Linked DNA regions of Stegostoma tigrinum. The protein of the gene in region 1 purifies or fractionates together with the protein of each later gene. This does not show direct contact. Links are inferred from orthologs where the notes say so. Each region holds a gene or a part of one and is shown in the gene's direction. Other genes may lie near its edges.

Region 1 (14,911 bases):
CAAGTGCAGCAACTCCTTCCACTGCCCTTAGTTTACAACATTATTATTTTCCCATTTTGCCCAACAATTCAAAACAAAAGAAAATCAAATCTTTTCAGGATCTTCATCAATTTTGTGTCTCCATGGAGTGAAAATGACTTCACGGGTGTAAAATAGTTTCAGCTGTCTTAAGTTTCAGTCAATTTTTTTTTTAAAAACTGTCTTTGTTAACCTCCAATAATATGACAAAAATGGATGAAATTAAAATTTAATATTTTCAGAATGATGGGAGATAATTTTGACATGGAACTAAATTGGATATCTCTTCCAAATGTGATGAGAGGAATATCACAAAGCATGGCTGTCTGAATGACCTCCTTTTGTGCTGTACGATTCTGAGTCCTCTGAACAAATTTATCTCTCATGAATTTGTAGCTCTTGCGTTGGAAAAACCACTCTGCATAGATGCTCATTTCTTTGTTTCTTGAGCAGGGTATAATCCAATTAGTGCAGAGAGGTGCGAAGTGATGGATTTTAAAAGGAAGAATGAAGAGACCCAACGTAATTAGATGGTACAATTAGAAAGGGAACATCAAGACCTACATAAGTCTTTGAAAGTAGCAGCACGAGTTTATATGAATGTTAAAGAGCAGAGAGTTCCTTAACTTTACAAACAAAAGCTGAGGGTAAGGAGCATGCAAGTCAGTTTGATGGAATACACCATCTATGGAGTAACTAATTTAGAAATTTATTGAGTGAGGAAGTAGCTGCTCTTCTGCTGTTTTTAAGATAAAGAGTGGTTCAAGAGGTGAAACGTAAGACTGCAGTCACTAAGATTTGTTGAACAAAAACCAAAAGAACTGTGGATACTGTAAATCAGGAACAAAAACAGAGGTTGCTGGAAAAACTCAGCAAGTCTGGCAGTATCTGTGACGAAAAACATCAGAGTTAACGTCGAGGGTCTGGTGATCCTTCCACAGAACGTCATGCATTGTTGTCTTGGTGAACAGGTAGGTGGTTGATTGTTTTACAGCTTTTTGTCCCAATGGAAGCTGTAGCTTAAACTAGAACCAAAGATATATGTGCTATATTAAATTCATTACTCAATATGACTACAAATAATCATTGAATGATACTTTAAAACTTGCAGCCCTAATTATATAATGTGCAGGTAATGTATTGCAGCTGTAGCATGTAGGACAATGCATTGCAACAGTGGAAAAAGTTATGTGGGAACATTGCTGCAGGAAGCAGCCACAGACAGATTAAGCATGAAAGACTGTTCATGGTCAAGGACAAGGATGAGACTGCAAGTGATGTAGGACTGGAAGTGCCTCATCCCTTGCACTTGTCCATTAGGTACAAGGTTCTTGCAAACAGTGTGCACAAGAGAATGAACTGTATGAGGGAACAAACTGCTACTCAAAATGAATAGGACTGCTCATGTTGGAACAGGGATACATAACAGGCAACCAACCTAGTAAGCTTCTTTGTGATTCACCACTCTCCCATTACCACTAGAATTAACTCATTCTGAATCTGCACAAACTATTTTGTACATCTTTTCCAACAAATACTCTCTCTTTTTTCTTATTTGGGGACCAGGGAACCTCTGTTAAGGACTGACGAACTTTGTCGGCTCTCAACTCCACCTGTACCCCTGAGCAGGAGGTAACTGATGCTTCAGAGAGTGTACCAATAAGACATTCACCTGCACCCTCTGCCAGTTCACATTCCTACTCCTCAGTGCATACTCTTTCTGGACTAGACTCAGGAGCACAATCTGGTCAGTATATTGTTCAAATATCTTTGTAGCTGGTTGAGGAAGAAACATCCCAGGTCTTTGTAACTCAAAGGGGCACTGGTGAGCAGGCAGATTCTGTCTATCACTTAAAGACTTTTGGAAGTTTCTACAAACCTCTCAGATTTCTGAACTCCAGAGAACAGAGGTAAGTCCCTTCAATCTTCCCTCACCATCTCAGGAATCGGTTTGGTGAACCTCTGTTGCACTCTTCGATGACAATACATCCTTCTGGGATCAGAACTGCATGAAATTCACTGATGGTTTATACAATTGAAGCAGGACTTCTTTACCCTGTATGTAAATCTTCTTACGAAAAAGGTCTACACACCATTGCCTTCTAAATTGTTTACTGCGCCTGAATGCTAATTTTCTGTGACTCATGAACAAGAACACCTAAGTACCAACAAAAACAGAAATTGTTGGAAAATCTCCGCAAGTCTGGCAGCATCTATGGTAAGAAATCAGCGTTAACAGTTTGGATCCAGTGACCCTAGTTCAGACCTGATGGTAGCTATGAAAAGGTTGGTTTTTATGCAGAAGATAGGGTGAGGGGAGGGAGTAATGAGTAAATGATAGACAGAGATAGAACCCAAGGAGAGAGAAGAACAGCTAGACAGACAAAGGAGTTGAAAACAGTCAGCCTGAGAGAATAAATAGATGTTAACGGGAACTATCAGGGACTAACAATGGGTTGTGTATAATAGCAGGCTATGTGATAACAAGGCCTGGAGTGTGGAAGCTGGGGTAAGGTCATGGCAGAAGGTGCCTCAAGCTCTAAAATTGTTGAATTCGATATTGAGTCCAGAGGTTGTTGAGTTCCCAAGCAGAAAATGAGATGCTGTTCTTTCACTTTGCACTGAGCATTGCTGGATCACTGCAGCAAGCCTGAGACAGAGATGTTGGCCAGAGAACAAGGTAGTATGTTGAAGTGGCAGGCGGTTGGAAGCTCAAGGTCTTTTTGTGGACAGAATATGGGTATTCTGCAAAGCAGTCACCCTGTCTATGTCAGTCCCACTTCCTACAGACAAAGGGGGTGGCCATGGGTACCTGCATGGGCCCAAGCTATGCCTGCCTCTTTGTAGGTTACGTGGAACAGTCCCTCTTCCGCACCTACACTGGCCCCAAACCCCACATCTTCCTCCGTTACATTGATGACTGTTTCGGCGCCGCCTCTTGCTCCCAAGAGGAGCACGAACAGTTCATCCACTTCACCAACACCTTCCACCCCACCCTCAAGTTCACCTGGGCCATCTCCAGCACATCCCTCACCTTCCTGGACCTCTCAGTCTCCATCTCAGGCAACTAGCTAGAAACTGATGTCCATTACAAGCCCACCGACTCCCACAGCTACCTAGAATACACCTCCTCCCACCCACCATCCTGCAAAAATTCCATCCCCTATTCCCAATTCCTTCGCCTCCGCTACATCTGCTCCCAGGATGAGGCATTCCACTCCCGCACATCCCAGATGTCCGCGTTCTTCACGAACCGCAACTTGCCCCCCGCAGTGGTCGAGAACACCCTCTACCATATCTCCTACATTTCCCACAACACATCCCTCACACTCTGCCCCCACAACAACCGCCCAAAGACAATCTCCCTAGTCCTCACATAACACCCACCAACCTCCGGATACAATGCAACATCCTCCAACACTTCCGCCATCTACAATGCGACCCCATCACCCAAGACATTTTTCCATCTACACCCTTGTCTGGCTTCCGGAGAGACCACTCTCTCCGCGACTCCCTTGTCCGCTCCACACTCCCCTCCAACCCGACCACACCTGGCACCTTCCCCTGCAACCGCAGGAAGTGCTACACTTGACCCCACACCTCCTTCCTCACCCCCATCCCAGGCCCCAAGATGACTTTCCATATCAAGCAGATGTTCACCTGCACATCTGCCAATGTGGTATACTTCATCCACTGTATCCATTGTGGCTTCCTCTACATTGGTGAAACCAAGCAGAGGCTTGGGGACCGCTTTGCAGAACACCTCCGCTCGGTTCGCAATAAACAACTGCACCTCCCAGTCGCGAGCCATTTTAATTCCCCCTCCCATTCCTTAGACGACATGTCCATCCCGGGCGTCCTGCAGTGCCATAATGATGCCACCTGAAGGTTGCAGGAACAGCAACTCATATTCTGCTTGGGAACCCTGCAGCCTAATGGTATTAATATGGACTTCACAAGCTTCAAAATCTCCCCCTCCCCCACTGCATCCCAAAACCAGCCCAGCTCGTCCCCGCTTCCCTAACTTGTTCTTCCTCTCACCTATCCCCTCCTCCCACCTCAAGCCGCACCTCCATTTCCTACCTCCTAACCTCATCCCGCCTCCTTGACCTGTCCGTCCTCCCAGAACTGACCCATCCCCTCCCTACCTCCTCACCAATACTCTCCTCTTCACCTATCTTCTCTTCTATCCATCTTTGGTCCGCCTCCCCCTCCCACCCTATTTATTTCAGAACCCTCTCCTCACCCCCTCTCTGAAGGGTCTAGGCCCAAAACGTCAGCTTTTGTGCTCCTAAGATGCTGCTTGGCCTGCTGTGTTCATCCAGCCTCACACTTTGTTAACCCTGTCTACGCTTCATTTCCCCAATGTAGAGACCTACAGAAGTTGCCAGACCTGTTGAGATTTCCCAGCAACTTCTGTTTTTGTTTCAGATTTCCAGCATCCAAGTTCATTTAAGTTTTTTTTTAATCTGGTGACACCTAGGTAAATTTGGATATTGACACTTTCCAATTTCTCACCATTTAAGAAATATTCTGCATCTTTCTTCATCCCAGTAAAGTGGATAACCTCCCACTGGTTCACATTATATTCCAATTACCATGCTCTTGCCCACTCACTCCTGTCTAAAACCCCTGAAGACTTTTGGCATCCTCCTCACAACTCACATTACCACCAAGTATTGCATTATCTACAAACTTGGAAACATTACATTTTCCAGCAGATCCAAATCATTCTTGTAGATTGTGAACAGCTGGGGCCCAAGCACTGAACCTTACGGTAGTCCACTGGCCACAGACTGACATATGCTGACTCTCTGATTTTTGCTTGTTAACTATCCTCAGTGTTATGTGCTTTAATTTTGTTTACTATTCTCCTGTATGGGACAATATCAAAAGCCTTCTAAACATCCCGAATTGAGGAAGGGTGACTCGACCTGAACTATTAACTGTGATTTCTCTCCACAGATGCTGCCAGACCTGCTGAGCTTTTCCAGCAATTTCTGTTTTTGCCTTCTTCACTACTCTGTCTACCTGTGACTCCACCTTAAGAAACTCTGTGACTTCACCTTCAAAGAACAATGAACTTTCACCCGAAAGTCTGTTTCTTCAGCAACACATGCCAGGACCCTAGTATCAAACATATAGGTCTTGCCTTCAATTGCATTACAAAAATGCAATAACTCATTTATTTAAATTAAACTCCATCTGTCACTTTTCGATCCATCTGATTAAGGTCCCATTGTATTCTGTGACAACCTTCTTCACTGTCCTGTCCATTGGTAACCCCCCAGAATGTTGACAGTGGGGAATTCAGTGAAGGTAGTGCCATTTAATGTCAAGGAGTGATGGTTAGATACTGTCTTATTGGTGATATTCATTGCCTCGCATTTGTGTGACATGATTGTTGATGAAACCATACCCTTTGTTTATGAAAATAGCTGTTTTTTTAGTAAAGTGTTTAAAAGCCCCAAAGCCACTTTGACAGCTACTGAGAGAAGGTGAGAGTGAGGGAATGTAGTGCTATGTGAATAAGGGGACAAAATGGAATGGTTTGGGTTCCTGATCAGTGACGGGATACAGATGGCAGGGTGAGAGGGTTCAAAGGGTCAGGTGTTGGAATTAGGCATGAGTGTATGGTGGCAGAGGGGTGGAGGAGGTCAATTTGGGTGTTTGGAGATAATGAGACTGGTTATAGTCCATGGGTGGGCATCGTAGTGTATGAGGAGATTGTGAGTTTGGTATCAATGTGGGGTCGGCTGGGTCGACTGGGGTGCTGGTCAGTGTGAGTGATCATTGTGGAACAATCATTGTGAGTGATTGAGCTGGAGCTCACTGGTACAGTTAGGCACGATTAAGGGCGGGTTTTAACGTTCTAACATTTCTTGGCTAGTTGGTAAGGTACGTTGGGACTCTCAAGTCTTCGACCATACGGAACGGGGACTACTTCAGAGGGTTTCCGTCATCCGGTAATTGCCCTTCGCAAGTTTAAAACTTTCCGGGCAATTACTGTGTCCTCAGTGTGGGCAGATTTTGACAGGTCCTGATGCGCTTCTTTTGAGGTACGCCCGTTTTCCGACTGCCTGGATCCCGGAGGTCTGGGCCCAAATGTCGAAGAGTTACCCCCAGAAGTGGAGGGTTTTTTTTCCTAATTATTTTAAGCCACAAGAACTGATTTGGAAGTGAAACCTACTGGAAGATGGCATATATCATATATGATTCTGGATCAGGAAAGGATGGCAGCGTTTAACCAGACATCAGAGGGACTTAGAGCAGCTGTGTGTACAACATTGTTTTCCTTCAAAATGTTTCCTATATATTTTTAAAAGTTTTTGCATAATACACAGGATTTAAGATACAAAACTAATAGCACTATTAACTTGAGGACATTAGAACCAAGAGTCTTGCTACAGTGTATTTCTGCAATTAAAATCTCTTCGATTTAAAACTATTGCCGTGTACATTTCACGGGGAACAGTGTTAAGATTGACAAGTACAGTGCAAAATAATGAAATCTGGAGGATCTAAAATAACCGGATCAATCTCGCGCAGTTACTGGGCGATTTTAATTGTTTCTCTTGCTGTGTGATTCATGCTGGCAGTCTGCTGCCGTTGCTCGGTCATTTACTGCAGCATGGGAAGCCCTTCCCTGCTGATGCTGCTGACACTGTGTATGAACGCACTAGGGAGGAGGAGCTCTGCAGAAACATGAGGAGTAAGAGTGCAAGCAGTTCATTCTTTCTTTATGTTTGGGTTAATTTCGGCAAGGAAACCTTTTGAGCAGAGTTAGGGTGGGGTTGGGGGGTCAAAGATTAGAACTATTACTAATCTGTGTGTATAAAAGACTTTGGGAGAGAGAAGGGAAGGACGACAAAAGCTTGTTATAGTAGTTTGGTGACAAGCTGCGATACAGACAGATTGTAATATTTGTTTTCAATGGCAGTGACTGCACTGTGAGCTAAAGATTCTGCTAGCCTAATGATTAATAGGTTTTAAAGACTGCCGATTTTGACTAGATTCACCACAATGTCTGAGAAGGAGTCTGTGACTGAAGGCCACACTGCAGGTAGGAAAAATTTTACTGTTATGACGCTGCATTGGCCTGCAGTGATACTGCCAGGACCCACACAGTACTCGTAGTCTTTTTCATTCGCTGCTGGTTGTTTTTATCTCTAGGATCCTGACTGGATGTAATATCCTGTTAAGTCTCTCAAGCTTCACTGCAGAGCCCAGCCATTGTAATAGTCACATGGATGGGGGACTTGTGGGATTCAATGCAGCATAAAATTACATGGAGCTGATTTGTTGCAGGTGAAAAAAAACCTTGCAGCATAATCCGTTTCATTTGGCTTTTCCTCTCTTAGCCACTTACTGTGAGCGTTCAGTTCAGTCCCAATGTTGGAGCAATCCGTTTTTGCCCCGATATATGTTTTAATCTCAATGATCGGATTTACGGTTTTGCTTTTAAACAATCCCTACATGCAGTTACAATTATAAATCGTGATAGTGCAGATTTCAAAATTACTCACCCTAATGCCGTGTCGTAGTGATTTCGATCAAGGCCACTTTAAAATGAGTTCTCAGATAAAACTGACTCAAATGTAGGAAGTAGCATGTCATAAGATTCAAATAATGGTTTCGATCTTTTAAGTCGTAGACATTTTTATTTGGTATTAAATATTGTTTGTATCCTGAATGAGGCAGTTAAAGCTGCAGAGAGTACAAAGTAGCTCAATGAGAAGGAATTTCATCACTAATCGTTTTAATAAAATGATTGGGAAGGTGGATATTTTAACTTGTCTTCCCAGTTGCTGGAACCTAAAGCACCTTCACAGTCGTGATATCATTCTCAGTCATCTGTGTGAGCTTATGCCAACTAAACAGCTCTCCACAACATGGTCAATCTCCAGCTTCAATGTTCTTTCACAGCAATGTCTAGACACCAGGCCTCTACTTTGGGGCCTCCCAAAAGAATGCCGATTCGAGGAGGAACAGTTCTTTTGACTTGGGATCCGTGTATAACCTAGAGATCACAAAATTTCAAATTATTAATGCAAAAAATATAACATCATTGTCGATATTCAGAAGATAAAATAGAAGTCACTGAGCAAAAATTGTTCCACTTTCATTTGCTTTACCATTGAAACTTCAAAATAAATTATTAATTAGAAAATTAATTGAAGCAGAATGGTCGCTGAACATTAGTAGTCTCTTTTGGACAAGTTTGCACCTTGTTTTTTAGTATTAGGGTGCTCAATTGTACTGATTTTTAATTATAAAATGACTGACTGCTGTGATTCTTTTCATCTGAGTAGCTTAATGGACTTACATCATAACAAAAATTGAAAATAAAATCAGCAGGTAATGCCTATTCTACTACTGTATGAGTGAAACCTCACTGTCATAAGCATGAATATAATAATAGTGGTTCTGTAGACATTTTGGACACACTTGCTGTATACAATGAGAAATATTACAGAAAACTGAATAGATACATTGTAAATTGAATAGAAGAATGTGTGAGATTCTAAAGATTTCTAGGTAAAAGTTTTACTGTACTTTTTTTGTTGATATATTTTCACCAATACAAAAATCTATAAGATAGTGAGTGTCAACTGAGTGCACAACGCATCATCCTCCGACACTTCCACCATTTACAATCCGACCCGACCACCCAAGATATTTTTCCATCCCCACCCCTGTCTGCTTTCCGGAGAGACCACTATCTCCGTGACTCCCTTGTTCGCTCCACACTGCCCTCCAACCCCACCACACCCGGCACCTTCCCCTGCAACCGCAGGAAATGCTACACTTGCCCCCACACCTCTTCCCTCACCCCTATCCCAGGCCCCAAGATGACATTCCACATTAAGCAGAGGCTCACCTGCACATCTGCCAATGTGGTATACTGCATCCACTGTACCCGGTGTGGCTACCTCTACATTGGGGAAACCAAGCGGAGGCTTGGAGACCACTTTGCAGAACACCTCCGCTCAGTTCGCAACAAACAACTGCACCTCCCAGTCGCAAACCATTTCCACTCCCCCTCCCATTCTTTAGATGACATGTCCATCATGGGCCTCCTGCACTGCCACAATGATGCCACCCGAAGGTTGCAGGAACAGCAACTCATATTCCGCCTGGGAACCCTGCAGCCAAATGGTATCAATGTGGACTTCACCAGTTTCAAAATCTCCCCTTCCCCCACCGCATCCCTAAACCAGCCCAGTTCGTCCCCTCCCCCCACTGCACCACACAATCAGCCCAGCTCTTCCCCCCCCACCCACTGCATCCCAAAACCAGTCCAACCTGTCTCTGCCTCCCTAACCTGTTCTTCCTCTCACCCATCCCTTCCTCCCACCCCAAGCCGCACCCCCATCTACCTACTAACCTCATCCCACCTCCTTGACCTGTCCGTCTTCCCTGGACTGACCTATCCCCTCCCTACCTCCCCACTTATACTCTCTCCACCTATCTTCTTTACTCTCCATCTTCGGTCCGCCTCCCCCTCTCTCCCTATTTATTCCAGTTCCCTCTCCCCATCCCCCTCTCTGATGAAGGGTCTAGGCCCGAAACGTCAGCTTTTGTGCTCCTGAGATGCTGCTTGGCCTGCTGTGTTCATCCAGCCTCACATTTTATTATCGCAGAGTTATATGTTGGTGTGATACCCACGCAGTTGATTAGCACAAGAATAGAAAATTTGAGCTGGAATGGAAAGGGGTGTGAAATCCTATTTTGGCTGGGCTGTAAAATGGATGGTAGCATATCAACCACTCTTTACACACCCTGATCAATTTTACTTTCCAATTAAGTCCATTTTCACTTCAAAATTTGAATGCTATCCCTTCATTATCCAAAATCAAACAAAGTACATAAGAAGTTGGAATTGAAGTAGGCAATTTCATCTCGGAGCCTGCTTTGCAATTCCACAAGATCATGGCCATTCTTCCAGCTCATGAGTGAAGTTAATGATTAGGGTAAGATACTAGGGGAACCTTGTGCATCTGGAAATACACTCTACCAATAAACCAGCAACTTCAAGATTGAAAGGAAGAGAATTAAGGGCTTCAAAGTGTTCTTGCAGCAAATATTGAAAATGTAAATTTGTCTTAAAAATTCCATCAATGTGCATCACACAAAAACAGAAGGTTTGTTGTTATTTCCAATCTATTAAATAAAAATGGAAAGAACACGCTGGAAGTCAGAAACAAAAACAGAAATTGCTGGAAAAGCTCAGCAGGTCTGGTAGCGTCTGTGGAGAGAAATTAGAGTTAATGTTTCGGGTCTGGCGGCCCTTCCTCAGAACTGATGCTAACTAGGAAAAAGTTAGTTTCTATGCAAAAGATAGGATGGGGGAGGGAGTAGGTGGAGATAGAATCCAAGCAGAGAGAAGAACAGTTGGACATATAAAGGAGCGGATAACCATTAGCCCAGGAGAATTAATGTCTACTAATGGGGACTCTATATCCACCTTCGCTTTCTCCTTATCCCTCACTCCCCACCAACTCTACCTTCTGCAAAAAAAATCTTCCTAGCTACTATCAATCCTGGGGAAAGGTCAATGGGCCTGAAACATGAGCTCTGCTTTCTCTGTGCAGATCTTGCCATATATGCTGAACTTTTCCAGCAACTCAGTCTTTCTCTCCCATCTCCTGATGGGAAGATGACTGGAACCAAGTGTCTTTCATCAAATTACCAAGTGACTTATCTAATTAGTTACTGTACTACAAACTTGCAAAAGCAATTTGGGATAACTCTTGCTGGCTAATAATTCTAGCTTCGATGTGCTTCCCCACATGATGTAATCAAGATTGGGCAAATTGAGCATTATGACACAGAGTTACCCCTGTGATGTAGTAGGCTACAATGTCTTCAATCTGACTTTATTCCATTTTTTATGTCAACCTTTCTGATGGTAATTTACACTGCAATATCCAGAGAACTCATTTTCAGGGTGCAAAATGTGCAAAATAAACAATGGAAATCAAGTACAAATAATCAGGGCCCAAGGAAGTCCCAGAGCATAATTTATGATTCCTGAGGTCCTTATTGATTTTTATGAAAATTAAAGTTGAAGCCATCAAACTATCATTTATGCACAATAAACACAGTATGTTTTTTAGCAAATGTGATTGTGGAAGATTTTATCTTAAAAACTAAAGATTCTAATGCTATAAAAGATTCAAAGTTGCAGAGAATACAACACACACCCCAGAATACAGAAAATTCAAAGTAATCACTCATAGATTGCTACAATTGTCTGAAGTTGTGTCCTGCTAAAAATTTGAATGTAAGTCTACATTCATTTAGAAAAGTTACAAGTGCAGCACAAACTAATTTAAGTCACTCATGCAAATTTTCTCAGAGAAAATAGAGCAAATTCACTCCTAAACTGAAATATTCTAAGAGATTCTAAGTCGTATTTTGCAGTCCCAGAATGTTCAGCTGTGGTTCAGCTTGGATGAAAACAATTTTAGATAATCACAAGGATGGCAGAGGATGACATAGGTCATTTGTTAGCTCATGTGGCCTTCCAAGTGACTATGAAACTCCTACAATGTGTGACAGTATACTGAAGAATAAAATTAAGCCGATAAAATACTTGGCTTTTAATGTTTGCACCTTTAGTAAAAGTCACCATAACCTTGCTATCTCATTAGTGAGGGGTAACTACGGGTGACTTTAACCCGAAAGTCACTGCACCTCAAGCGAAGGAAGAGGAAGAAAAGGAGAGTGCTCCATTATAATTTCAGCTGGTGGAGGAATTGAATTCACGCTGTGGCATCATTCCACATTGTAAGGCAGCCATCCAGCCAACTGACACAACCATCCCTTCCATAGCTCAGGCTGAATATAACACTCATTTAAATGAAGATTAATGCTGAGCAAAATTTCCTCCAAGCTGCAAACCTCCTTTAGTCAGCAAGAAATCATTTTCTTACCCTACATTTACAAATCTACCAATATTTTGACTTCAGTGAACATAATTTAGGTATAAGAAAAATCAGAAAGATGATTTCTTAAACTATGTATGATTAGAATTGAAACAGGAACTGTTTTGATGTCCCTTCCAGATAAATATAATGCTGGCACTCATTATATGACTCCATACATGAAGAACATTCGATTGGTTGAACTAGTGAGTTCTTGATGTCCATGAAACTGTATCATAGAATGTAGTCAGTACCTCAAAAGGGAAAGAACATCAGAGCATTAGTAACTTTGATTTTAAAAGCTTCTGTTTTTTTTTAGTAAATTTACACTCAAACAGCTCCTGTGATGTGGAGGTCACCTTCTACTGATGGTTAATGGTCATCAGTCATGAATATCACTATTCTGAGATCATTGTATTCCCCTGATGGAGCTAATACTGCAATCTCAACACAAACTCAAAGCACTTGGGCTGAACGTGTTGGGAATGGAAATATCAACTGATGCAGATCCACTGCAGAAAGAACATTTTCTTCTCTACCAACTGGCAAAACAAAGGCCTATTGATATTTTTAAAAATAACTCTGTGAGGCATATTGACTAACTATTATATTGAAATGCATTTATTTTTACTTTTCAGTAGCATATTAGTAGAACCTTCTCCTATTTACAAATGGGTCAATCTCTGAAAATAATGTACAACCAAATACATTTGATTGCAAAAATTAATGGATAGCAAACTGAAGTAGCTATAAAAAACAATAACTTCTCTGAAGAAGTCAGTGTTCAGAATGGTTCAAATTATTGAAGTAGTGCATCTTGGTTTGCAGTAAGTTGCGGTTAACAGTCAGTGTTTAAATGAGCAGAGTTACGGATCAAGCTTATCAAAATTTAACATTCCTATAAATTGTACACATTTGTAGTACCCATTCATTATAGCAGTGATTTCTATCAATCCAGGCTACATGTGTGGGACGTACCAGAAATTCAGACATGCTGTTCAGGATTTTAAAGCCAGTAAAGAGCAGGGTGTGCCCAGCATTCAGGCATGGTGGGCAAGGCAAAATGGATTAATGCAGTCATACTTTATATGAGGCAATACTTCTTATTGCTGCTGTCATTATTTGAACACTAAACATATGCATCAAATTATCTTCTTTGCTATTTTCATTTTAAATGTTATTGTATAACATTGCTGAAAATTGCCTGCATATTATCAATTAGAGAAAGATGGTGTCAGAGGCACTGACTGGTTCTAATAACATAGTTTTAGCGTCCCATTTAAAAACACATTTAAACTCCAGCCTTATCTCCCACTGAGCATGATGTTCTTCAGCTAATAATCTTGGCGAGTTCTTGCATCTGGCCTGTGTGCAATGCTGGGTAGCAGACAATGCAGTGCTGCTGTAAAAATGTCAGCATTCCACTGCTCCACCCTTTTTGCTGAAGGAGAAAATTATTCTGAAGCAATGGTAAGGCTGGAAGGAGATAGTAATAAATTATTCAATGCAGTACATATCTTCCTGATTGTTTGAGCAATCAAATCTATCACAGGCCATTATGATCCATTCTCCGATAGTGAGAAAAGATTGGTTGTAATCCATTTAATCCAAATATTAAATTAGAGGAATGTGACAGATACTGGCATCAAGCCTAACAAAGGTAATGCCATTTGCTCATAATTAGGACATTAATTTGTTTAAAAGTGCTTCTCAGTGGCCAAAAATCAATGGTATTTTGACCATGCAACTGCATCATCTTTGAGAATTTAAAATTATACCGAAAATTGGTAAATGTTTGGACTGGACTACACCACGGAGCAGCATCCTATCTGGTAGTCGAGCCAGCGAAAGAGGAATTTAGGAAGGAAGTAATTTGAAAGTAGATTGTAGTTTTAGTCTGATGTATATTTAGAAGGAGATTGCATCCTCCCATAGCTTTTCGAGAAGACTTAAGCCATATGTAGTGAACACTGTACAAACTTGAAAGAACAGGGAGGATATGGACATGTTGTTCTGCCCCATCAGTCCACAGTGACATCTATTCTGAAAATGAGTGACAACTTTTAATAACATTAACACACCCTGTTCCCATTTCATGTTATACCATTTCCCTCTATCAGTATTCATCCTAACACGTGAAAGCTGGTGGACACCTGCATGATCTACAGTCACTACATTGAGTGATTGTTTCAGCTCAAAGAACCTTGGCTCAAAATTAACGTACTGGAGTGGGCACTGTGGTGCATCAGGAGGAGGATAGTTACTTGGACACTTATTCTTGGAAGCATTCATGCCCCTTGGACTCGATAGTTCTCATTAGGTCTGTGGTTAGGGAGAAAAGGATATGACCACAGCTGAGACAAATATGTGGACCTGGAAGTTAGCAAAGCAGAAGCCTAAGTTCTTGTAATTGTCCAATTGGTTCAAGATATTTACAGATTTTTGTGGGAATATGCAGTACTGCAGATTGGAAGGGCAAGCTAGCCATGGGCTCATAGTGCAGAAAGCTATCCAAGTAGGGGCAGTAAAATGAAATCTGGTTTTAGGAGACCACAACATAGCTAGGATAATACATGCTGTTCTTTGCCACTGAGATTGTGATTATCAAGGTGATGTTGCTTACCCTTGTCAGGCTTACAGATACTTCTGGACTGGAAAGCATCTTGGAGTGAGGTGGGGGAGGATCCAATTGCGATGTCGTTTGGGGGTGCCAACCACATGGGTGGATACAAAGTAGAAAGCAGAACTACAAAGTTACTGACTTCTGGAGTAATGAGCCATGGGCAAATTGACATGGGGTAAATAGGATTAGAGAGCCAAATACAATGATCAAAGATTGGGTGGAAAGAAATGGTTTTGATTCATGTGGCATTGGGACAGACTTCACCTGAATTTTGCTGGGATTAGTGTCTTAGCAAGTCTTCCTATTAAGGCTATCATGAAGCTAAAAGGCTTTGCTTTTA
Region 2 (16,085 bases), on another chromosome or scaffold:
ACCCAACAGCTATATGAGCAAATGTAATTTTAGTACAACTACAGTGGTAGAAAGTTTAGCCTTCTTTTGGGGCCACATAAGGTATTAAGATCCAAAATGTGAAGTAAGCAGCTCCTGCACCTTATGAAGACATTGGGACCTTGCTAGGTGATTGTTACTTTGGCATCCAGGGTGAATCATTGTACTGCTTCTGCCTCACAAGTATTGTGTCGTACGATGTGGTCAGAGGACTTGGGCCAGGATTTTTGGTCCACACATAAGTCAATGTGTAAGGTCCAAATACAGTATTTTGTGATCACACATGTCTTCCCTACCCTGTGTGGGGACTGTTTAATCCTAATGACCTTTGAATGGTCTCATATAATCATCCTTACAGTGTGGAAACAGGCCCTTCGGCCCAACAAGTCCACACCAACCTTCAGAGCACCGCCCCCAGACCCATCCTCCTATAACCTACCTAATCTACACACCCCTGAACACTACAGGCAATCTAGCATGGCCAATCCACCTAGCCTGCACACCTTTGGACTGTGGGAGGAAACTGGAGGAAACCCATGCAGACACGGGGAGAATGTACAAATTCCACACAGGCAGTCGCCTGAAGGTAGAATCAAACCCGAGTCCCTGGTGCTATGAGACAGCAGTACTAACCACTGAGCCACCATGCCATCTCATATCACAAAAAGTGGAGGACTGTCCAGTCCTGCTGTGGTGACAGCCATTTTTATCTTCATTATGCTATTTGGATGAGGGTGGAAGGAAACAATGATGCATTTCACCATGTGAATCACAGACTCAGCTTCTCAATCCAGGTGGCCCCTCCCTCCCCAGTCTTATCACATTACCATGTCAAACATTGCCACCCCACGGATAACTTCATGCTTTGTCCGCCCCACTCCCCAATTGCACATCCATCCCATCCTTTATCATCTCTATATTTTGAGTTTCTCATTCCGTATTCCAACATGCTACCATCACCAGGACTGAGCTCCCCAACTTCCCTGATAAATCCTCCCTTGACTTTCAGTGAGCAGACTCCCAAGACATCCTGTGAGTCCCGCTCTTCATCGAACAGGGTAGAACAGCCCTGACTAATGAATGACTGGACCTGGGACAATCACCATATAGCTCCCTGACTGACTGTGATGACACTGACAGGTTGCACTGGACTATCAGGAGTGACCATGGCCCCCAATCCATGGAGTGCCATGAAATAGAGTCCTTGGCCCTGACCCTCCCAAGTGGCCAATAGGCTATGCCCAAGCAACTGAACTCATTTGCAGATGCTGCCCTTCCCTTACTATGTCCAGTTCCTTTGACTGATGGCTGCCTCCTTTGCTGGACTCTTCACCCCAAACAGTTTAAGACATGGCCATTTGGTTGAAGACAAAGAGTGGGTTTGCAATGTAGGCAGATAGCACATGGTATAGGTGTGTGATTAATGCAGCAACATATCCCAACCCTTTGACTAACCACTGCTAACAATCATGACAATGTACTTTGCTTTATGCCTGCTCTGAACAGCAAAGTAAAATAGAATGACTGAGAGCCTTTTGAAAACCAAAAGAGCTGCAGATGCTGTAAATCAGGAATGAAAACAGAAGTTGCTGGAAAAGCTCAGCAGGTCTGGCAGCATCTGTGAAGAAAAATGTCAGAGTTAACATTCCTCAGTTCTGAGGAAGGCTCACCAGACCCGGAACGTTAACTCTGATATTTTTCCTCACAGATGCTGCCAGACCTGCTGAGCTTTTCCAGCAACTTCTGTTTTTATTCCTGAGAGCCTTTTAGCTCTGGCTGAGGGGACAAAGTGCAAAAAGCAGGGCTGTGAACATCTAATCTCTGCTGGAATCACTTTATTTTTTTCCCAACGTCCCAGCTAATGCCCCCATTGCTCAGAAGCCAGGAAGATTCCACCAACTGTTCCTGGCTGAGGTTGAATTTAGACCCTTGTTTCTTGAAGGCCTTCACTCTCATCCTCTGTCTTCAAGCAGCTTGTCCTTCTCTGTGCTGCCTCTTCCTAGCCTGTGTCAACCTGCAGGCCATGGTTATTGAACTCTTCAGCACTCATGACTTGGAGTATGTGCCCTGAGATCAGAACATTTGAGATCAGAACCAAGGCCTTCATCATGTGCCCACAACCTCACTATAGACTTCGGCAACTTCAAATGGCAGTATAAACCACCAAAGCGAACTCAACAGCAACAAATCAATTAGCACCGATCTGAGCAGATGATGATCTCTTCGAAGATGGTGATCATTCTTCCTGCTACTAAATGCATGTTAAATGTTCAAGGCAAGATGGTTAATGACAAGGTGGACAGCATTGATATCCATATGCTGTTTGTTAATGTTCAGAGGGAGATTGTTAGTGTCTAGGGGGAGACTGTTCAAATCCGAAGTGAGATTCTTAAGGTTCTGGAGGACAGCATTAATGTCCAGGTTACGTGTGGAGGGGAGAAGATGCTGTTATCATTGAATGAGCTCAGCATTTTTTCTGATTTCCATCAAATTCAGTGAACTGAACCCACTGCATGCATTTCTCACAAAGAAATTCTATCACATTCCATGTTGGTCTTTTCTTAATTTCATTTTTACTTCTTATTCCTCTTTTTTCTTTGTCTCCACCCTTTCTGACTATCTTTTCACACGTCATGTGCACAAGTTGGGGTTGGGGAATAAGAGCATTAACATGAAGACTGCTTGACATTCTGTTTAATACTTGATGGCAAGACATTGATCATGCTCACTTCAGTCAATGTAAAATTGATGAATGGTGAGTATGGTATAGTCTACAACTGATTTCCTGGAAATATTTAACAAGAGCGTAGGGATTGAAAGGGAAAGAAAGAAAAATGAAAGGTAAAGAAACATGAAGGCCTATGTAACAAAAGCAGGACATTTGAAGAGAAAAGCAACACCTAAGTGCTTTTAAACACCACATCCCAATACTTCAGTGAAATGGAATCTTTGCAAAGCTAAAGCAGAATAAATCCACTGCCTGATCTCAGCATATTCCAAACATGCACTTAAATCAGAGCTGTGTCTCCTTCCTCCTAAGTGAGACAATATTAGTAGAATATGCATTCTGCATTTTAATAATTAAAATTCTAGTCAGCAGCTTCTGTGGCTTGGCAAGTTATAGAAAACTGCACCATACAGAGGAAGAACTCCAGCAAAGGTTGAGTAGAATGTACAATATGTACGAATTATCTCTGCTCCACATTAGCAGCTCCACACCTTTCTTCATCTAACTCTATTGACATGTCCTTCTGTTGTTTTCTCTCTTGAACACTTGTCTGGCATCCTGCGAGATGTATCAGTGCTATTTCTCTTAGTGTAATAGCAGATCATTCGATCACTCTATTCCATGAAGAACTTTCTCCTGTATTTTCTACTGAATTTATCAATGAGTATCTTCTACTTGTGGCTCCAAGGTTTAGTTTTGCACGCAAGTAGAAATATCTGTTCCATTCAATCCCTTTATAATTTAAAAAAGTCTATCAGGTCACCTCCAAAATTTTTCTTTTGACAAAAGGAACCCCAGTCTGTTAGTCTGTACTGTTGGTTAGGTCACCTTAGCTTGCAATCATCCCCTTATGTTTTTGCGCCTTCACTTATGTTTATATATCCTTATTACCAGACTTTGCACAGTCCTCCAAAGTATGTTAACATGGGCTTCAAGTTAGGTTTTTTTTGTTAACTTTGAGTTAATAGTTATAGTGCTGTGGCTCAAAAAGAAACACTTGTATCAAACAAAATACATTTGAATGGTTGCTTGCCAGTTTTGGCTAAAAATAGCCTGGGAATTTTAAACAAGGAACTAGTAGCAATGAAAATTAAACAGTGCTCCAGCAAGTGAATGGGGAAAGGGATCTTCAAGCAAAGAACTGTGGTTAACCTCAGGACATCCCATAGTACTTTATAGCGAACTACCTCTAGAACCATTGTCACTGCTGTAATTTCGGAATCATGTCAATCAATTTTCACACAGCAAGATCTCACATACAGCAATGGTGTTGGTTTGATGAATATTACTGAGTTGTAGAATGCTTTAGCACAAAAGGAGGCCAGTTGTCTGAGCATACATGTCAGCTTTGATTAGAGTTCCCAGTTTCATGTCCTACATGCCCCTTTTGGACCAATGCCTTATCACTGCTACCCCTACAAATCAGATTGGTAAAGATCAATGTTCTGTAAGTGTCTACCATTCTTACTAAAGTAGCAGTTTAGTGGGATCCAGTAATCGACAAGGTTGCAGTTTCAGCCTGTATGGACTCATTTGCAAGGCTGGTTAGAAGTTCTGTGGTGGAGGCTACTTTCTCCGCCTGTTAGAAATTCTCACAGTTCCCCATACTGCCGATTCATTATTGTCTCCTCATTCGCCTCCACAATTTGGTCAATATCTGGCCAAGTTTTCTGAAATTCCCCCGGTGCTCATAACTAGGCAGAATTACTTCTACCACATCTCAACTAACACTGACAGACAGCCTGTCGCTGCCACCAAAGCTTAGCACTGGTGCCTGGTGGGACATCCCATGACAGTACACCTTCAGAAAGAATGAGATTCTCTAAGAAACTGTCCACATGGATGTCCTATGTTACTTGCTGTACAGATGAAGAAGGTCCTGGTAATCGAGGGAAAAGTGACTTAGTGGCGGCAATGTCACAGTGTTGACAATCACTGTTCTCAGTACTCTCATAGTTCATTGATGACATGAAATCAATATGTCAGAGTTATTTGCAATCCAGGCCCCAGCTATTTGCCAGCTCCCTGACTCTCCAAATGGGAGAAAATTACTGCAGATGGTAGAACCTGTTCTGTGAACAACAAATGCTGGAGATCACAGCAAGTCAGGCACTATCCATGGACAGAGAGCAAGCTAACCTTTTGAGTCTAGATGGTTTTGCATCTCTGACTGAGTGTGATGCAGACATACTAGCTGTCACCATGTTGGCCTCCTCTGCCTCAGTGAGCCTGACTGTTCATGTCTGCCACCCCCAGTTTTTTCCCTCTCCTTTGCATTTTTGTTCTCTTGTACCAAGAATGAAGAAATGGTCTAGGGAGTAACTGAATGTTGGATATTCAACCACTGGATTCAGTAATTTTGATTAATTTGGCTAGAAGAAGCATGCATCACATTGGACAAGGGAAGGAGTGAGTGTGGACAATAGATGGGTAGGTGGAGGTGATAAACTGAGATGAATGTGAAGGCTATGTGCAGCAGAATGGTGAGAGGGTGTGAGGAGTAATGAGATGAAACACACTAAACAGCTTGTTGGTGACAGCTAATTTTCTTTATCTCAATGCTGAGAGAAAGTATGCTTCTTCTCCTCCCAGCGATAATTCCAATGGTGCATCATTGAATCTAAATGCTATCCTTGTTCAATGTATGAGCTCCAAGCTATGTATTGGTCCCTTTAACAATTATTGAAGTTGCAGTATGGGAAGGCACATCAACTCCTGTGCAACATGGTCACACAAAACTCAGAAATCAAAACTAACTGATGTAATTAAATTGAGATCGCTGATTCGGACATGCTCAACTCACACAATTCCACTCCCTTTCATCGTATACGAACTATATTCAGATTAACGTTCGCAGCTATGTGACAGAGGAGGTGATGTGGTCAGGTTAACTGCAACACAAATAATGATGCAACAGCAGGACGTTGAACACTAATTGCATTCGGAACAAGAAAAAGGAAAATTCAAAGGACAATTAACCATAGTGGTGTTTTGAGGGTTACAATTGTTGTATTTGGGCTTGACTGTGGTCACAATCAATGGATTAACTGTAGCATTGTTCAGAGGATTGACTGTAGTATTATTGTCTAAATAGAGCGTGGGAGAAAGCACAGGTTTCCATTGTGAGACTCAGGAAGCTAGACGTATGAAATGGATCACATATCATACCAGCTTTTAATTGCTCCATGTCCAGCAGCACAAGGGAGAAGTGTTAGATGAATTTGAAAAGCCTAGACAGGATTTAAATTATTGACAAGACTTGGAGTTTACCAAGAGCTAAGTGTTGTTGGAATAATGAAGTGAAACCTAGAGCTTCACCATGATTCCCAAATTCTTCTGAGACAAGAATTATAAATTTTGAATAGAATAAAGTGTTAAAGCTAATGTTACCTGCCTGATCCAAAATCAGTAAGAAGGCAAAACAGAAAACCACAGATTTGATCATTTCATTCCATCAATAAGAATGATAAAAATATGCCTGAAATGCATGGACAGCATAGGCACAGCCGATACATACATGTTCAGAAAAGAAAAGTGATACTTGTTTATTCTAGATGAATTTTGTGAGGAGGTTGCTGAATGAGACCTGAATGGAATGGAGCGCCATTTGGTATATTTGAATTGTCAGAAAATAAAATACCACATGAGAAACTTTTTTTTAAGATTAAAGGGATGGCTTGAAGATGGAAAGCAAAGGGTAGGAGTAAATAGATGCCTTTTGGACTGGAAACTAAGTGCATGCCTCGAAGTTTTATGTTTTGACCTTTCCTATCACTAGGAAAGTGATAGCTAATGTCCGTAACTCATTTGAACATTCAGTGAATAATTAGGGAAGACAAATACTGAATGTGGATCAATTTGAACATTAAGAGGGATAATTAGGAGGAAGGCAGCTAATTTTAAGATAGCAATCAACCTTTATCCAAACTCCAGCTTGTGTTGGGCTTGTAAACCAAACCATACAGCAAACTTTGAAAATGTCTATTTCTATAAGTTAGTATCAAAGACTGTACTTTGAAAAGCCATGTTAAGCTACTCATAAAAAGTGATGTTCATTTAACAGGAAAGAATTTATTTTATGCTGGTCTTGCTACAAATTTGTTACCTTGCTTCTGGTAAACCAAAAACGTTGGGTAGCACAAATATTATCTAATGTCTTCTCACTGCAGCACTAAGCATAAGTACCTGAGGGAAGATTTTGTGTTTCACTGGTCAATACAATCAAAGCTCATTTTTGATATTATCATTTCTGGAGGAGTTTTTAGCTCTGTAACTAATGTTGAAGATAACAGTATCTATTCAACTGTTTTCCATCTCTTTTCAATCCAACCAGAGAATTACTAATTAGAAAGATCTAAGTTTCTGCCATTGAAAAGGGCATCCCGATGCACTGTAATGAAATGTAATAGCATTACAGGAGAGTTAACACATCAGGTTAAAATGATATTCCCCAGGAGATGAGGGTGGTGATGCATGCCAGTTCCCCATGCCTATTTTGGAACACTCCGGGAAGTGCCTTTTCCGAGTCTTTACATCACTCGTCGATGTTGTGTACTCTCTAGCATCACCACAGACCAAGGACCAGATGATACTGGTGTTATATGAGGCTGGTTGTTATCGTCATTATCAGCGGGGCCCTACTGATGTTACTGGCAAATTTGTAAGGACTATGTCTCGGTGGAGGATCTTATCTCACCGTTTGCGGTTTTTGCTCACTTGTCACTGAAGAGTTGTAAGAGTTCGAGTGTCAGTGACAGAATGAGTCTTAATGTCGTATACTGGCTCGATAACAACTTCTTCCATGAAGGCAGTTGCATCAGCTGTTTCCTCGCCAGTCTCAGTTATCGTCTTTGTCTCTGCCCAGCTTTATGTCTCGATAACTTTTGTTGTAGGAGGTTTGGTGGTAATGCTTATCTCAACAGCAGGGTGGGCTGCCCTTACGGTGCCTTCTTCAACGTTATCTATGTCATCCAATACAGGGTGAGCCAGCTCCTGTCAGACCGATCTCAGCTCCGTGTATGGTAGGAGGTAATGTCTCAATGTCGCTGTCTCGATCTGGACCGAGATGGACCTTGTTGCGGATGTTACACATGTATAACCGAATGATTTATCGCAGCTCGCGGTTGTGGACAATGCTGCGGGGAGGTTGTTTATCCGGGACACTTCCCAGCCGGACTGCTCCAGTGGAACTGGAGACTCATACTGGTTTTTTGAGTGTTGGTCTGTATAGACCATGGCCGTCTCGTACTTTTTCTGGTCGTTTGGTCACCCAACAGCCAGGACTGTTGGGCTTACTTGCGGGGCCAACGGGGAGGCACGACACGCACTATGCGCCAACAATATGTCAAAACGTCATAGTGGGCAACTAAGAGAGTTTAAGACTTACTAAGAATGCTTAGCCTTAAGAGAGGCATTGTTACTCCCCTTGCTGTGACCACCTCCTACTCCTTCTCCAAAGGTATCTGGCTGTGGTGTAGCTGTGTAAAAGAGGCAGGCAGTTGGGTTGAATATCCCCTCAGTTGTCTCCTACTCAGACCCTGTTGATGGCCACTTTTGGCCAGGTGGGGAAGCCTAAAGCAGGAGTTTCTGATCCATGCTGAGTGGCCAAAGATTGGGAGTGTTCGACAGTAATTTGATCAGAAGTTGAGGAACAGCCTTTTCAGACAACGAAAGAGAAACTGCAGCCCAACACATACTACACAAACAAACATGCCTTCAGGCCACAGAAATAACAGGCATGCCTGGAGTCAATGAACTGAATTTGCAGTCTTTCACATGGAACTGACAAGTCTAGTATCTGCTACATCATATTCCCAATTCACACAGGGAAAACTTTGGAGAGTTTCTCACCATCCCCATCAGATGGCAGGATGGAATCAACTGAGGGTCTGAAGTATATGGCAATCTCTTCAATTAGTAATCCCATGAAAATTTCACTGGGCCATGTCGCTGACAATTTGCAAAACGTTGGGCATTATTGAAAGTCCTGCTTTACAGTAGTTGAATGTTTGACCTGTACTTCTGTCCTTCAGATTAGGTAAACTGAGGGATCGAACAATTCACATTACCACGGAATTTGAGAACTAATCAGCAAATGGCTTTCCTCTGTTTGAGTTTGAATCTCGGAATGACAGAGGAAGTGCCTGTACTGTCAGTGTGGCTGCCTTTCACAGTCAGCATTGTTTTAAACCAGAGCAGGGCGGTTCTCCCCCAGTCCTCAACACTTAGCCCCAAACAAAATTAGTAAAACAGATTTCTTTGGTCATAGCCACGTTGCTGACTACGGGATCTTGCAATGTGCAAAGCGGGGGCTGCTATTCATACAATAATAATTAATTATGCTACTAAAAGTACTTTATTGTTGTGAAACATTTTGTGATGAACTAAAGTCGTCTGGAAAGGCATCATACAAGTGCCGACTTTTTTCTCTTTGCTCAGTTTCTCTGCGTACTCCTTACAAAATCTTTATCATTGGACATGCGCTTCTGCCTTCATTTACGCAATGAACGGCTACATGTGTTAGACGCAGTCACTAAATCAGTTGAAAGGCAGTACGGATGAAGGTAGTAAGAACGGTGCGGGTTGACAACTGTCCTTTTGCAACAAGGTTAATATGAATCCGAATAGCAGACAGTAAATCACAGCCAGTCTCAGCACATCTTCCTCAGTCAGGGGTCTGTGTACGAGGTGGGGGGAGTAGAATGCGGTTGGCTGCTGCTTCCTTTCGTGAAGCTGGTCCCTCCCTGCCTCGTTTTCTATTGGCTCAGAATAAGATTTGGATCACGGAGAAGAAAGCAGGAGATCGAGGAAAGCAGTAGAACGCAGTTTACAGGTTTGAGTCTGTAACGGGAGTGGGGGGGCGCATGGTAGGAGACTGCAGAGAGGAACCACCCGGAGTAATCTGACTCAGGAAGGAACCAGGGTCTAGCCTGACCCCAGGGGGGAGAGGGACAGTGACCAGCCCGACCCCAGGGGAGAGAGAGGAGGGGCAACAGTGACCAGCCCGACCCCAGGGGAGAGAGGAGGGGCAACAGTGACCAGCCCGACTCCAGGGGGAGAGGGAACAGTGACCAGTCTGACCCCGGGGGGGAAAGAGAGGGACAGTGTCCAGCTCGACCCCAGGGGAGAGAGGAGGGGAACAGTGGCCATTCTGACCCCGGTGGCGGGGGGGGGGGGGAGAGGGACATTCTCTAGCCTGACCCCAGGGGAGAGGGGGCTGTTGGTGGGGAGGGGGCTCGGATGGTGAATGCTGAGTGGTTTGGCGAGCTGATTGCGGGACTGTGCCCACAGGCCGAGCCAGGATCTCTCTGTCTGAGCGGGTGAGCGTGTCCCTGAAAGTCCGGGAGATGGGGGGCCGCGTCTCGGCGCAGGAGCCCGATCAACTCAGCCCGAGTGAGGAGCAGGAGAGCGGCCAGGAGAGGCAGCACACCGAGGCACTGGACGGCAGGGTGAGTGCATGGCCTGTAGAGGTGGGGGAAGAGACACCACTGGGTGACTGCCTGGGGTGGGGGGTGGGTTCAGGAAGGATGTGGGTGATTTACACCCCGGCGGGGAGAGAGACTGGGTCTGGACTGTTCTTGCTAACAGCTGGGAATCCCAAAACTCGCAGTTGCAATGGAGCAACTTTTACAGGACCCCTCCTAATCTCTCTCACTTCAGTGTCTCTCTCTCTGCCCTCCCATGTGTCTCTAGACCGCCCTGGGGGTAGGCTTCGTGGCTGAACTTGGTAAGGGTCTTTGTAAAGTGTAGTAGGAAAATTTACAGCCTGCCATCAGTGAAAATGCCGAACCCCCCCTTGGGGGCATTCATAATATTCTTAGGTCAAACTGTAAGAGTTACCGAGGACAACGTGAACATAGCGAATATTGATAACCAAAGCAAAAACAGAAATTGCTGGAAAAGCTCAGCGGGTCTGGCAGCATCTTTTATAACAAAGTATCTGGACTTTGGCTCAATCTCTAATATAGAGCATAATAGTCTTAGTTTTAATTGAATGACCCGCATGTGCTTTTAAATTCCTTTATTTTTATTTGGGTATCCTTCCATCCAAGATGTTTTATATTTGGAGCTGCAATGCTGATGCTGGCTAATTCACTTCGGTCAGCAGCGGTCTTCAACCCCCAAATAGGGGGGAGAAAGTTGACCCAGGTCCTCAGTCAGGTTAATGAATGGGGCGGGGAGCTATCATCAGAAAAGACTGTTACAGTCACAGGCAAAGTTTAACTGGCGCCCAGGCAGGCTGTCTGGTTAGAGTTGCAAAGGATCTGTTACCATATTGGGAGTGCATCGTGGAGCATCGAGCTGGATGAACGAGAGGACAATGAGGATGGTATGTCTGCAGGCCCTGTATAAAACTCTCTACTCCTTCATCCCAAATCGCTGGAAATGAAAAACTGAGTCTGCAATACAGATTCCTGGGTAAAATTATCGTTAGCATTTCATTAGCTGGAATACTGTACTATTCCCAACCTCTCACCACTGCCACTCCCTAAAAAAAATCAATTTGGTGTGTTGTAGGTGGATTAATAGGAGGAAAAGTAGGGGATTGAGCAGTGAACTAGTGTGGGGACTATATTAACAGAGAAGATAAATAAAATAAAGCTTAAATATACCCAAATCTTTTCAAATGGGAATGTAAAGCTCACCCCCATTTGTGAGTGGTTGAGCTGTATAGCCCTTACAGGAAGGGAAAGAGAAAGTAACAGAAGGATGTGTAAAATGTGATAATGTGGGAAGAGTTTTACTTTGGAGGACAATAGACTCATTAAGCAACGAGACCTGTTTCTGTGCTACAAATTTGATGAAACTGACAGTGGATCAAGGTGCAAAGGAAAGGTTCCAGCAACAGAACAAAATATTATGTTAAAGAGTAGTATGGCTGATTTCCAGAAGTAGCTTGCTGCTTTAGCGGAATGTAAAAGTAGCGCTGCTGAAGGAAGGGTGGGGAATAGAACTGAAGAGGGACTTGAGTGTGTAATTACACAGATTATAATAAGGACAGAAAGTTATTAAACCTGACTGGTATGCATCCCAGAGTGCTGATGACTGGGACTGACAAAGTGGAGGATTTGTATTATTTTATCAAAAAATCTTGGAAACTAACTGTACCACAATACCGAATGTAGAAGAACTACTTAAAATTGAGAGTCAGGGGCTTGTTGACAAAAAAAACAGAAAAGGCTCTGCAGGTCTGGCAGCATCTGTGAAGGAAAAAGCCAGCATTAACATTTCGGGTCCAGTGATGCTTCCTCAACCGATGCTGCCAGACCTCCTGAGCTTTTCCAGCAACTTCTGTTTTAGTTCTTGATTTACAGCAACTGCAGTTCTTTCAATTGTTGACTGATTAGTTTTACCTGGGATGGGAGTAACTGTCTGGAGTCTGTAATCTAGAATAATATTAGTGAATGTTATGGAGTCCCACCTAATGATTAGGTCAGTGACCTTTGCTCTGAATGAGAAGGTGCTAGAGAATTCTTTTATCTCTACTAGATTAGATGTCAAATCTTCTAACCTTGTGAATAAAGTGCACGCTAGCTCATTAAGGTTTGGTGTTAGCCCTTCCAAGATCAGTATGTCCTTCCTGGGTTGTAGTGCTCAAAGCTATATGCGGTGCTACAGAAGGGATCTGAACTAGTACTATACAACTGGAGGATGACTCCCTAACCCCTAAATTCCAATTTTCTATGCAGAATTTTGTGCAATTTCTATACCTGCACATTGGCTTTCTTTTTGTGATTTCTGTACGTAGGCACCCAGATTATTTTGTCCTTTAACATTTGGTGATAACAAGTGCTGGAGCATGTCAAGCTGATGATTATAGGAAAACGTGGATGACAGAATGGACCATGCTAAGTAATAAATTGTGTTGGTTTAGTGGATTGGGTGTTTGGGGGAGTCGGAGGGAAATTGCATGAACAATAAGACGTTCACCATGAAGCTCCTGAGAATTCAACACCTTTGTAGTATTCTAAATTTTACAATTTGCGTCCAAAATGCCTAAAAACATTGGGGTTTCAAATTTTCAGTTGAAGATTTCTGATCATGAAAGGCATTATTCTGACAGTGACTTCTTAAAAAATGTACAATTGTGCCTGAATTGTGATACCTAGTCCCGACCGTTTTGTAGGTAAACACATCAGCAAGGTAAGAGACTTGCAAATTCAGTGTATTTACACCCTTGTGCACATCTCAGTCTTATGGACCATTATTCTGAAGCCCAGCTTGTTGCATCAATAAACGTGACTGCCATGCTCTAAACAGCTATGTCTTGAGTGCAGGACCAGTGACCAGTTAATTGGTTTCCAGGTGGTGACATGAGGATAGTTTTCCAGCAAGGAAAATGGTCGTCTTTGTACAGTGGCACCTTTTTCGTTTGGGCTTAAGATTAAACTCTCTTGACTGTGTATGAGTGAACATCCCACTTGCTTGTGGCTCAGTAGTTGGGAATTTAATCTTGACCCTTTCAGCGGAGACCTGCTTTCAATACGGTTAATAGTGTGTGGCTGAATTAAAACTGGAATTATTTTCTGTAGTGCCCTAACTGGTGTCTTTGAAGTTGTAAGTTCAATAGGGTAGGTGGAGAGAAGATGTTTCCACTTCTAGGTAATTCACAACGAGGGACCCATAAACTTGAGATTGGCTGACAAATCCAGTGAGGGATTCAGGACGCACTTTTCTTGAGTAGGAAGGATGGGGAGCCTGTTGTCACATCACATGGAGTGGTGGTGCACAGAGCAAAGGCACATTTTAAAAGAGGAAGCTAGGCACGTACATGAAGGGAAGGGAATGAAAGGAGATGTTGACAAAATTAGATGAATTAGGGTGGGAGGGATTTATATGGAGTATAATCACTGGCACAGAGCTGTTGTGCTGAAAGTGTGTTCCTTATTGACTCCACTCTGGTCCTTGCCAAAGGACTTTGGATTTGAGTCAAATTATTGAGCAGCATGGGGGAGTGGGGACAGATTTTATTCCACATATCGGTCATGCAATATGTATCAGTGAGAGCGTCCATGTATTAAAAACTAAAACTAACCATTCATGGCCTAAAATTCTTTAGTGTGAGGAGAGAAATTCCCATGACCTTTTGCCTTCTTCCCTCCTCACCTCTGCTCCCCAGGGAGTGAGGCGTGGAAGGAAGAAAAATTATAACACTTGCTTCTTGCTTGTTCTCACTAACTTAAAGATTAGCTCAAATGCACATTACAAAGTAATGCAGTTTGCAGTACAACAGCTGGTATGTTTTGGAAAATGTAGTTAGTTCCTTACTTGGAATTAGTGAAGATATGGAGGCAAGTACAGTCCTTACAGTTTAACATATATGGAGTGATTGAAACAGCGCTAGTGTATTTAAAGGCAGTCTTAATATGTGTGGGAGAAGGGAGATAGGACTGTGGAAAGAAGAGGAATTTGAATAGGAGTAAGCTTGTATGGATTATGAATACCTAAATGGGGCTAATGGCTTGCTTCTGTGATGCTGCTTCTAGGATTTATTGCAATTTTGATTCCAGACCCAGGCTATTTTGTGTCAAGGCCTAAATTTGATTTGGGTAAGCATGGATGTTGGTGCATCATACATGGCATGTATCTTGTAAATCCTTGATCCTGAGTGCTCTTTGAGACACTTACGTCTGCCAGTTTAACTGCATTGGAGATGTCTACATTTTAAAAAAAACAGTTTTGAATTGCTAACAGTGATAAGGTTATAGTCTAACCTTCGTACGTCTCCCATTGTCAGTTTTCTCAAAGAAGGGACAATCAATCCTGACTTACGCGAGAAGGTTTGGGATTGAAATGTTAAGTTGTGCTCCTAAAAGAGTTCTATTTCTTTTGTTGGATTTGTGCTGATTTGAGTAAACCTGCTAGTTACAGAAGCTTTGGACACTGGGACAACGTGAGCTTTCAAAGATAAGTTGGAAAGATTTTAGTTAGTAATGGTCTAGAAATAAAATAGGTGATTGAAATTGTGGTATATATCCAAATTAATGCTGGGGCTAATTCAAAAGGGCCGAATGGCATCCTGTTGCTATGTGCCTTTCCCAACACTATTGACTTCACTACTGGACCTGTTTTATTGTACTCATATCCAGTCTCATTTAAATTGTTCTGTATTGTTTTGTTAAAAATAAGCACCTGCCTTCCAAATTTTCTCAGTGAAAGTATGTTGTTTCATCCAAGCTCCAGGCAATAACTAGTTGTTCCGTTTTAATATTCATTACGCTTCCAATAAATGTTTTTTGTTTTTGCCTTCCACCCAAATTACATTTGGACTGAAACCACATGTATGTCAGTCTTGACGTGAGCATCTTTAAAACCTGCAGAAAATTTTAATCTCCTCAATTTGTTCAGAATTTAGATTTTAAGTAACACCGCCTTTTGTTCTCGAAGGAATTTGGAACAATTTTGGACTGAATTGGTCTCTTTCAAATTTTAATCTAACAAAATTCGTATTTCACTAATGGTGGCTCAGTGGCTAGCACTGCTGCCTCTCAGCACCAGGGTTCCAAGCTTGATTCCACTCCTAGGTGACTGTGTGAAGTTTGCACATTCTCCCCATGTCTGCTTAGGTTTCTTCTGAGTGCTCTGCTTTCCCCTGCCACAGTCCAGAGATGTGCAGGTTAGGTGGATTGGCTGTGCTGAATTGCCTTTAGTGTCCAGGAACAAAAACAAAGTTGCTGGAAAAGCTCAGTAGATCTGGCAGCATCTGTGGAGGAGAAAACAGTTAACGTTTTGGGTCCAGTGACCCTTCCTCAGAACTCGTGTCCAGGAGTTGGATTAGCCATAGTTAATATGGGGTTGTGGGGATAAGGGTCTGGGGCTGGGTGATATGTTCTTTGGGGGGTCAGTGTGGATTAGATAGACCAAATGGCCTCTTTCCATACTGTGTAGGGCTTCTATGATTCTGTTTACTTATTCCTAAAAGTAGTTGAGGATGTGGAACATTCTGTGTTAACAATTATTACTACACATTGAATTACTTTACTTTGGTCTTGTGTTCATTCCAGTAAAAAAAAATCTGGAAATTCTTCTGTGGTCCCAGCTGTAGCTGTACTGATTTCAAATCTTCATGTCTCTTACCCGAATATTAATTGGAGAAGATTAAAATTTGCTGCAGATTCCAGTGACTGTTGGCAATGGTGCCTTCAGCTACTTAAGCGATGAGCTGGAATTTGCTCCCTCCGCTCCTGCATCCTCTGATCTCAACTTTAAGTATCTGCCCAAGTTTGGTGCAGTCACATTAAAGTGAAAGTTGCCATTTTATAATGACACTTTTTTTGATTATAGTAAAATATCCCCTGGCATTCCACAGGAGTAATGTTCGGCATTTGTTAACACTGAG

What was found.
Region 2: the proteins of hspa12a (region 1) and A-kinase anchor protein 12-like purify together in Homo sapiens (affinity purification with mass spectrometry; 3 studies listed by BioGRID and IntAct, with this or other methods). This does not show direct contact. The link is inferred for Stegostoma tigrinum from reciprocal best matches to the Homo sapiens genes HSPA12A and AKAP12.

Annotation. Positions count from the first base shown.
Region 1 is NC_081373.1:20,486,721-20,501,631, forward strand, and holds the start of hspa12a (heat shock 70 kDa protein 12A), read left to right. Parts: upstream 1-6,736; 5' UTR 6,737-7,041; coding exon 7,042-7,081; intron 7,082-14,911. UniProt on the Homo sapiens protein: Adapter protein for SORL1, but not SORT1. Delays SORL1 internalization and affects SORL1 subcellular localization.
Region 2 is NC_081362.1:16,983,517-16,999,601, reverse strand, and holds the start of A-kinase anchor protein 12-like, read left to right. Parts: upstream 1-9,524; 5' UTR 9,525-9,578; intron 9,579-10,036; 5' UTR 10,037-10,092; coding exon 10,093-10,194; intron 10,195-16,085. UniProt on the Homo sapiens protein: Anchoring protein that mediates the subcellular compartmentation of protein kinase A (PKA) and protein kinase C (PKC).